Ovis aries: one gene and its partner. The protein of the gene in region 1 binds, or shares a complex with, the protein of each later gene. Links are inferred from orthologs where the notes say so. Each region holds a gene or a part of one and is shown on either strand. Other genes may lie near its edges.

Region 1 (4,263 bases):
TCCAGCTGCGGCATTCCCTGGCCTGTGGACGTGTTGTGGGTGCTGGGCCGAAGGGAGCGTGGTGCTGACATAAACTCCCGCAGAAAAGCAAGCTCCACAGAAGCGCGTTTCTTCCAAGTCACACCCAGGGAAGGGAGATCAGCATTCAGCCCCGTCACTGGCCTCACTAAGCCTCAGTCTCTGCATCTGCCGAACGGGACTGGCTTAGGGGCTGTGGTGCGGAGGACACAGCCCACTCTCACACGGTGCTCAGCAGTGAGTCCTGCGGCCACAGGGGTGGAGCCAGAACCAAGGCCACCTCCAAAGCTGACTGAGGCCCTTCGTAACCTTTGCCAAAGCCCCCTGATCATCACTAACGAGCTTCCTGACTCCAAATTAGGCCAAAACGCTGACCCCATGCTCAACCTATAGCACTCTGACCAACCGTGCGTGCGCGCGAGCTAAGTTGACTCAGTTTCGTCTGACTCTTTGTGGCTCAAAGACTGTAGCCAACCAGGCTCTTCCGTCCATGGGATTCTCCAGGAGAGATACTGGAGCGGGTTGCCATGCCCTCCTCCAAGGGGAGCTTCCCCACCCAGGGATGGACCCATGTCCCTTACAGCTCCTGCTTTGGGAGGTGGGTTTTTCACCCCTAGTGCCACCTGGGAAGTCCACCCAACCAATCACCCAGCAGCAACCTGCCAGCAGGAATTTTCTTTGTCTTGAGGCTATAAAAACTGGCTTCTAAACCAGGAAAGCGCTGCCTCTCTCCGGCCTGTTAGGAGGTCAGCCCGCTGAGCTCGCAGGGCCCCTGTTTTCTCTGATCTTTGTTCTTAGCAAACTCATTCCCTTCTGAAATGCTCCCAAGTCTGGACATTCCTTTCCAGCCCCTGCTTGGATTGCCTCAGCACTTAGCACGGAGCTGGCACAGCGGGTACTTGCTCAGTGCTGGCTGCTGATATGACGGAATCCAGCCCAGCCAGGTTTCCCTGCGGAGCTCAGAGCCGCTCAGCCCCCCCTGCAAGTCTCGGGGACAGGGGTCTCTACCCTCCCAGGGGGGTGGGGGTGAAGCTCCAGCATCCCCCACTGGGCAGCAGGCCAGCAGAGGCGGGACCACACTCTCTTACCAGGCCGAGGTTCAGCCTGTTGTTGTCGTCTTCCGGCATGGGCAGGTACACGGCCAGGGCCACGCAGTTGGCAAAGATGGTGAGTAGGATGATGGTCTCGAAGGGTCTGCGGCAGAGTCAAGGAGAGAGTGAGGCGCGGGACTTGCGGGTGGAGCAGAGTGCACGGGGGGTCTCTGTGGACACCGAGGCCCAGCGACGGGCCCACATCGCACTTCTGCTCCTGGCGGGGGTGCGGGCGGGGACCCTCCTCCTTCAGGGGGTTGACTGAGAAGTTCAGGGACCTCGAGGCACTGGCTCCCGTATGGGGCTACTCAGTTCCAACGCTCAGGGAGTCTTGAGTCCCATCTCAGTCCCTACACCCCCACCTCTCGCCCGGCCACCCACCCCTCTGTCCCCTTGAAGGCGCTACAGTCAGACAGTCCTCCGGGCCTCGGAGGAGCAGCCAGGGAGGCTGGGCTGGTACGAGCCAGGTGAGGCCCCTGGGGCAGGACAGGGAGCGGCTGTGTGCCCTGAAACCTGGCCTCTGTGGCCTGAGCAGGGGAGACTGCCCCGCGGCAGCTGCACCCCCAGGTCCCAGCACCCCCTGCGCAGGGCGAGCCAGCTGCTTGCCAGAGGGCACCCCCAGGCTCCCTGGACTTGCTGGTGAGCAGTAGGGGCCCTGGGGGAGGCCGCCAGGGGAGGTGCGGGTGGTGGGGACTGAGGGGTGAAGATGGAGGAGCGGAGGTGTGCGTGAGCTGATAGCGGGGATGCGCCCTGTGTCCACAGCTCACGGGTAGGCCCCGTGCCCTTTCCAGCCACCTTCCTTGGGTTTGGGGAGAGGTGGCCTCAGGGCAGAGGCCTGGAGAGGCGCCGGGAGACAGGAGAGAGGCCCTCGGCCCCCCAGACGGAACGGGCAGGGGGCCCCGGGGTGGGCACAGCAGTGTGGGGGCAGGCCCGGTCCCACCAGGCGCCCCGGTTCCGGGTTCTCTGCCCCTGCAGCTCCCTCCCTCTCTATCTTCTAGGCAACAGCTGGTGGGAGCCCGGTCTTCCAAAGCCCCTCAGAAATATTCCAAATATTCCCAGCCGGTGCGCTCAGCACCCCCATGACAACAGCCTTCCCTCTGCCTCATGCCTGTCCCCCTGGCCCCAGCAAGCCGGGCGTTTTCATCATTCTTCCTCCCGGAGCTGATGCCAGCGTGGAGGGGGTCACGTCCCTGTACCCAGGGCGTGCGGCCCAGCCGGGCCTGATGTCTGCACAGAGCTCAGTGCCCACCCCACCGGCCTCCCAGCCCCGCCGGCCCCCGCCACCCCATCCCATGTCAGGGCCTCCACGCCTTCCAGCACCTTCCAGAGGTGGCCTTGGGGCCCTGCGCCTTGCCCCCAGCCCCCTGCGTCCGCGCCAGGGCTGCCTTTCCCAAAGCCCCCGGCTGCACCCCTGGGCCCCAGTGCCGGGCCCCCAGAGCCTGTGATCACTGAGCCCCCTCCTCCCCTCCGCACAGCCCCTGAAGGATACTTCCACTCGACGATGCTGATGCAGGCTTTCCGCACAGGGTTCTGGAGGGTCAAGCAGAACAAGGCCCGGGGCGGCCTGGGCAGGACCTCCGGGACGGGCTTCTTGGCCTGCTTCCTCCGCAGGCCCTCGTCCTGGGCTGGGGCCGGCTCCATGGCTCCCGCGGCCTCGGCCTGTCCTGCTCGCCTACCGCTGCCCTCTCCTCCCTGCGGCCCAGCACCCCCGCCTCCTGGACTGGGTGGCTGAGCTGGGGCGCCTGCCCTGCTGAGCCAGCCGGGCGGGGCAGGATCACTCTCCCTGCTCCAGGGGTAAAATTAGCCTCCTCTGGCTCCCCGCTGACCAGCCCCCGGCTCCACAGCCAGGCAGCTGTCACCCCTCCCCAGCCCAGCCGGCGGCATCCCGGTATGTCCCCAAGGAGGCAGGGGGAGGGTCACACGCAGGCCCAGGCTGGAGCTGTGGACAGAGAGCTCAGGAAGTGATCTGGAGCCCCCAGACTCACTGAGCCCACGGAGGGACCACCGACACCAGCTCCTGGATGTCAAGATTAGTCCCCCTCCCCACCCCAAGACACCATCCGGAAAAGGTGCTGGGTGGCCCGGCTCAGTAGGAGTCCACAGCCCTCCCTCCCATCTCCACCCGCAGCCGTCTGGCCAAGACCCTCCACTCTCACCCCCACGCCCCGGGGTGGGGGGCTCCTGGGTGTACACACCTTTGTTCCCCACCTCACCCCACCGCCCCTAACTGTGCAAGGGGCAGGTGTCTGCCCCTGGGACTCTGCCCCGGCAGGTACTGAGCTCTGCGTGAACGTCAGCTGAATGCATAAGCGAACAGAACACCCCACACCCCCCGCAGGCAAGTGCTCTGAGTGGAAGGAGACTGGGTCGCCAGGGAAAAGAGGTGGACAGTGACCCGGAACCACAGAGCCCAGCGTCTTTATTTAGCCCCTTGGTGCAAACACAGCACATACACCCACGCGGCCTGCATGCCACGGAGCGCAGGATGAGGGGAAGCAGTCCCCTCCCGACCTGGGAAAGGAAAAGGCCACACTGCAGGCTGGGGGCTGCGGGCTGGGAGCCTTGGGTCCTCCAGTAAGGAAGCCAGGGAGCAGCACGGGCCACACGACCTCCCCCGCCACCCCACCCTGGGCTGGGTGCAGGCTGCCGGGCCTGCAGCTCACCCTCTGGGTGTCCCTGGGAGGCGGGCTGGCAAGCTCCCAAAGAGACGCTGGTGTCTGAGGCCATCTCCTGGAGAGTCCAGGCGAGGCCCGCCCATCAAAGCAGGCTTGCCTTCTGGGCTGCGCCTGTGGGCCCGGGGTTTACAGATCAGGGCTGCAGTGGCCGAGTACACACCGGAACCTGGGCTTAGACCTGTTCCCGCGCGGGGCTGAGGCCAAGCCGGAGCCCGACTCCAGGGTGGCCTCTCTCGTGCCCGTGTCCGCCGGCTGTAAGGGCCGGGGCCGGGGCCGGGGCCGGGGTGGCGCTGGCGCAGGGAGGATGCGGCGGACCCCGTAGCGTCGGTCGGCGGGGACCCCGGGGACCCAGAGCCCCCCGAGCCCGGGCGGCCGCAGCCTGCTCAGTGGCTGCACTCCTCCGACTCGCCGCAGGAGGGCTCGGCCGAGCCGGGCGCCAGGGAGGGCGCCGCCCGGGGCTCGCGGGGCGCGGCGCCGTC
Region 2 (2,556 bases), on another chromosome or scaffold:
ATGGTTGGGGACCCAGGGACTGGTCTCACCTGGCCCATCTTGATTTGGGGGTGGGGGTCTGGAGGGCAGAACTGGATGGGTGCCCATCCGGAGGAACAGGCCCCCCACCCGTTCTGCATTCTGGCGGCACGCGGTTGCCCTGGCACCTCCGCAGCCCGCCTCTCTCTCCCTCGGCGCGCGCCCCTCTGTCTATAAATAGCCCAGGACGTGCTCGCCTGGGCGATGACGCGGCCCGGCGTGCCGGAGGGGAAAGGCGGCTCTGCCGAGCAGGTGGGCGGCGGGCACTGCGGCGGGAGGGGCGCCACTGGGGCCCCCTTGTGCCAGGCTCCCAATGATGGGCGTGATTGAGTCATCTCAGGGCCGCACGGTCCGCCAACGTATCTGCCTCGGGCTTAGGGGGCTGCGGGGGCGAGGCTGATCTCGGGTGGATATTGAGGCCGCCAGACCCTGGGTTCGGCTGGTCTCCGGAAGCACCTCTGGGTGGGCAGAAACGCGGAGGTGCATGCCCGCCCGCTGCGCGACGCAGGTCCACATCGATCTAGAAAATGACCGCAGCCCCACTCTCTCTCCCTCCAGCGTCCCCCAAACCTCCTCCTCCATTTCCTCAGATCTGGAGTGAGGAGGCGTGGGGACCCTCACTGTCAGGGCCAGCCCAGCCCCTGTATCCCTCCTCTCAGAGATGAACGCACTCTCCACCTTCAGACTCTCTCCTATTTTGGTCCACACCCACCACACCCCCAGGCCCCGCCCACCCCTTCCCTTCCTCTGACCCAAGCTGATAGATACATAGAACAGCCAGGTTGGGACAAGAAACATTTAATTAGGAGTCTGGGGGCTCAGCAGTGCCCCAGCAGACTCCTCATGCAGCCTCATGTACAGTGGGCATTGGGCCCGCCCCTGGGATATTGCTGGCGGGGGGCCTCATGGCAGCAAACAGGGCAGTGTGGCTTGAGTTCCTTCCCCTCTGCGAGGGAGAGGTGGGGCAGGGGCCAGTGGGTAGGAGCGTGTGCCCCTCCCACCACATGGGAGGGTGTGACTGTGCCCAGGATGGGGGTGGCATTGGCTGGCACGATCAAGGGCACAAGAGGAGGCTCAGAGCTTGGGGAGGAAAGGGAGGTTGGCACCAGAGAAAACCAGCCTGCAAGGGAGGGGTCCTCTTTGCGTGTCCCCACACACCCCTTCCCCCAGCATGCCTACCCCCTTCCCTTTCTGGTGGTCAAACAGAATTCACTGTCTCCCACTCCTGCTTCCTCCCAGGGCTGTGTCCTGGAAAAGGGACCGGATGCAGCCAGAAAAAGGGCCCCCTGCAACGGCAGCCCTGTCCCCCACAAAGCCCCGAGGGAGGGGGTAAGGGAGGGCTATTGCAAGGTCAGTCCTGAGGGTGGGGTTCCTGGGGCAGGCCTGGCAAGGCCTGGGACAGGAACTGAGCGTTCAGAGTCCTGACAGTGAAATGGGGATTGTTTTGATCAGGTGGGCCGGTGGGTTTCTGTGTGCAGGCAGCTCTTGGATGTGTCCTCTCCCAGTGAACAAGGGTAGAGTGAGGTTGCTCTCTGGTGACTGTCCTACTGGAGGGGACAGCCTCTGATTTGCCACACTCTCCCCAGACCTCAGCCCTCCCCTCTTCTGTCCACCCAAGTTTCAAGTAACAGGAGAGAGAGCCACAGAACTTTCCTGAGAGTTGATGGAGTGACAGAGGTGATAAGACCAGGGTCCTCCCACAGCCCTGAGCTCCCTCCCCACCCGGAGCTGGGGCTGAGGGACCCAGGAGGGCCCCACTCCCAAAGTGACAGCTGCAGGGTCACACATACAAGGGCCCAAGCAGAGGCTCTGTGAGGAGAGCGGTGTCAGGCATGCAAAGGTGTGGTGGGCAGGGGTAGGCTCTCTGGAAGAGGCAGCCCAGATGTTCCTCAGGAACTTCCTCTCAGGGCTGTGGACTCTGCATGGCAACTGGACCGGGGGGACCCACCTGGAGTTTTGCCATTGCCTCCCACTTTCTCCTCCTCCCCACCCCCAAGTCTCAGAGCTGCAACCTCTTCAGGGCACCCCAGGACCCCAGAAATAACACCTTTCTCAGTACAGAAAGCTCCCACGCCATGGTGAATGGCCCCTGGGAGAGGAGCAGAGGGAACCCCCCGAGGGGCCAGAAGCTAGGAGGGCTGGGCACGGGCAGAGGCGGCTTCTGGGTCCTCTTGGCTTCTCTCAGATCTCGGTCAGGGCATCGGCTGGAACCAGGCCCCGCTTCTTGCCACTGCTGACGCGGATGAAGCCGTCAGCATCTTTGCTCCTGCCCACACCCACACAGATCTGAGCAGGAGAGACACAACGCTGAGGCCTGGCACTGCCTACCTCCCTGGCCCCGAGTCCTGCTGATGCCTCCCATGGGGCCTATCCCAAGGGATGATGGGACCAGCATCAGATGCGGCTGGAGCAGGGGTGATGGGAGCAGATCCCATGAGACTCCAGGGCACAGCAGCAAGAACCAAGCGGACAGCAGACACGGAGCAGCACTTCGGGGCTGACCTTTGAGATCAGCTGGTCTAATGCCCCTGACAAACT

What was found.
Region 2: the proteins of CACNA1S (region 1) and STAC2 are in contact, whole or in part, in a crystal structure (PDB 6B27), measured with the Homo sapiens proteins. The link is inferred for Ovis aries from reciprocal best matches to the Homo sapiens genes CACNA1S and STAC2. Residues at the interface, in NP_000060.2 of Homo sapiens: Glu749, Pro750, Glu751, Ile752, Pro753, Ser755, Pro756, Arg757, Pro758; in NP_945344.1 of Homo sapiens: Tyr301, Lys302, Phe303, Gln306, Glu307, Asp310, Asn326, Asp328, Trp329, Phe340, Pro342, Asn344, Phe345.

Annotation. Positions count from the first base shown.
Region 1 is NC_056065.1:79,057,441-79,061,703, forward strand, and holds the start of CACNA1S (voltage-dependent L-type calcium channel subunit alpha-1S), read right to left. Parts: upstream 2,836-4,263; 5' UTR 2,751-2,835; coding exon 2,599-2,750; intron 1,213-2,598; coding exon 1,107-1,212; intron 1-1,106. Other genes in the region: ASCL5 (achaete-scute homolog 5), read right to left, coding at 4,168-4,263. UniProt on the Homo sapiens protein: Pore-forming, alpha-1S subunit of the voltage-gated calcium channel that gives rise to L-type calcium currents in skeletal muscle.
Region 2 is NC_056064.1:39,451,204-39,453,759, forward strand, and holds the end of STAC2 (SH3 and cysteine-rich domain-containing protein 2), read right to left. Parts: intron 2,305-2,556; coding exon 2,200-2,304; 3' UTR 801-2,199; downstream 1-800. UniProt on the Homo sapiens protein: Plays a redundant role in promoting the expression of calcium channel CACNA1S at the cell membrane, and thereby contributes to increased channel activity. Slows down the inactivation rate of the calcium channel CACNA1C.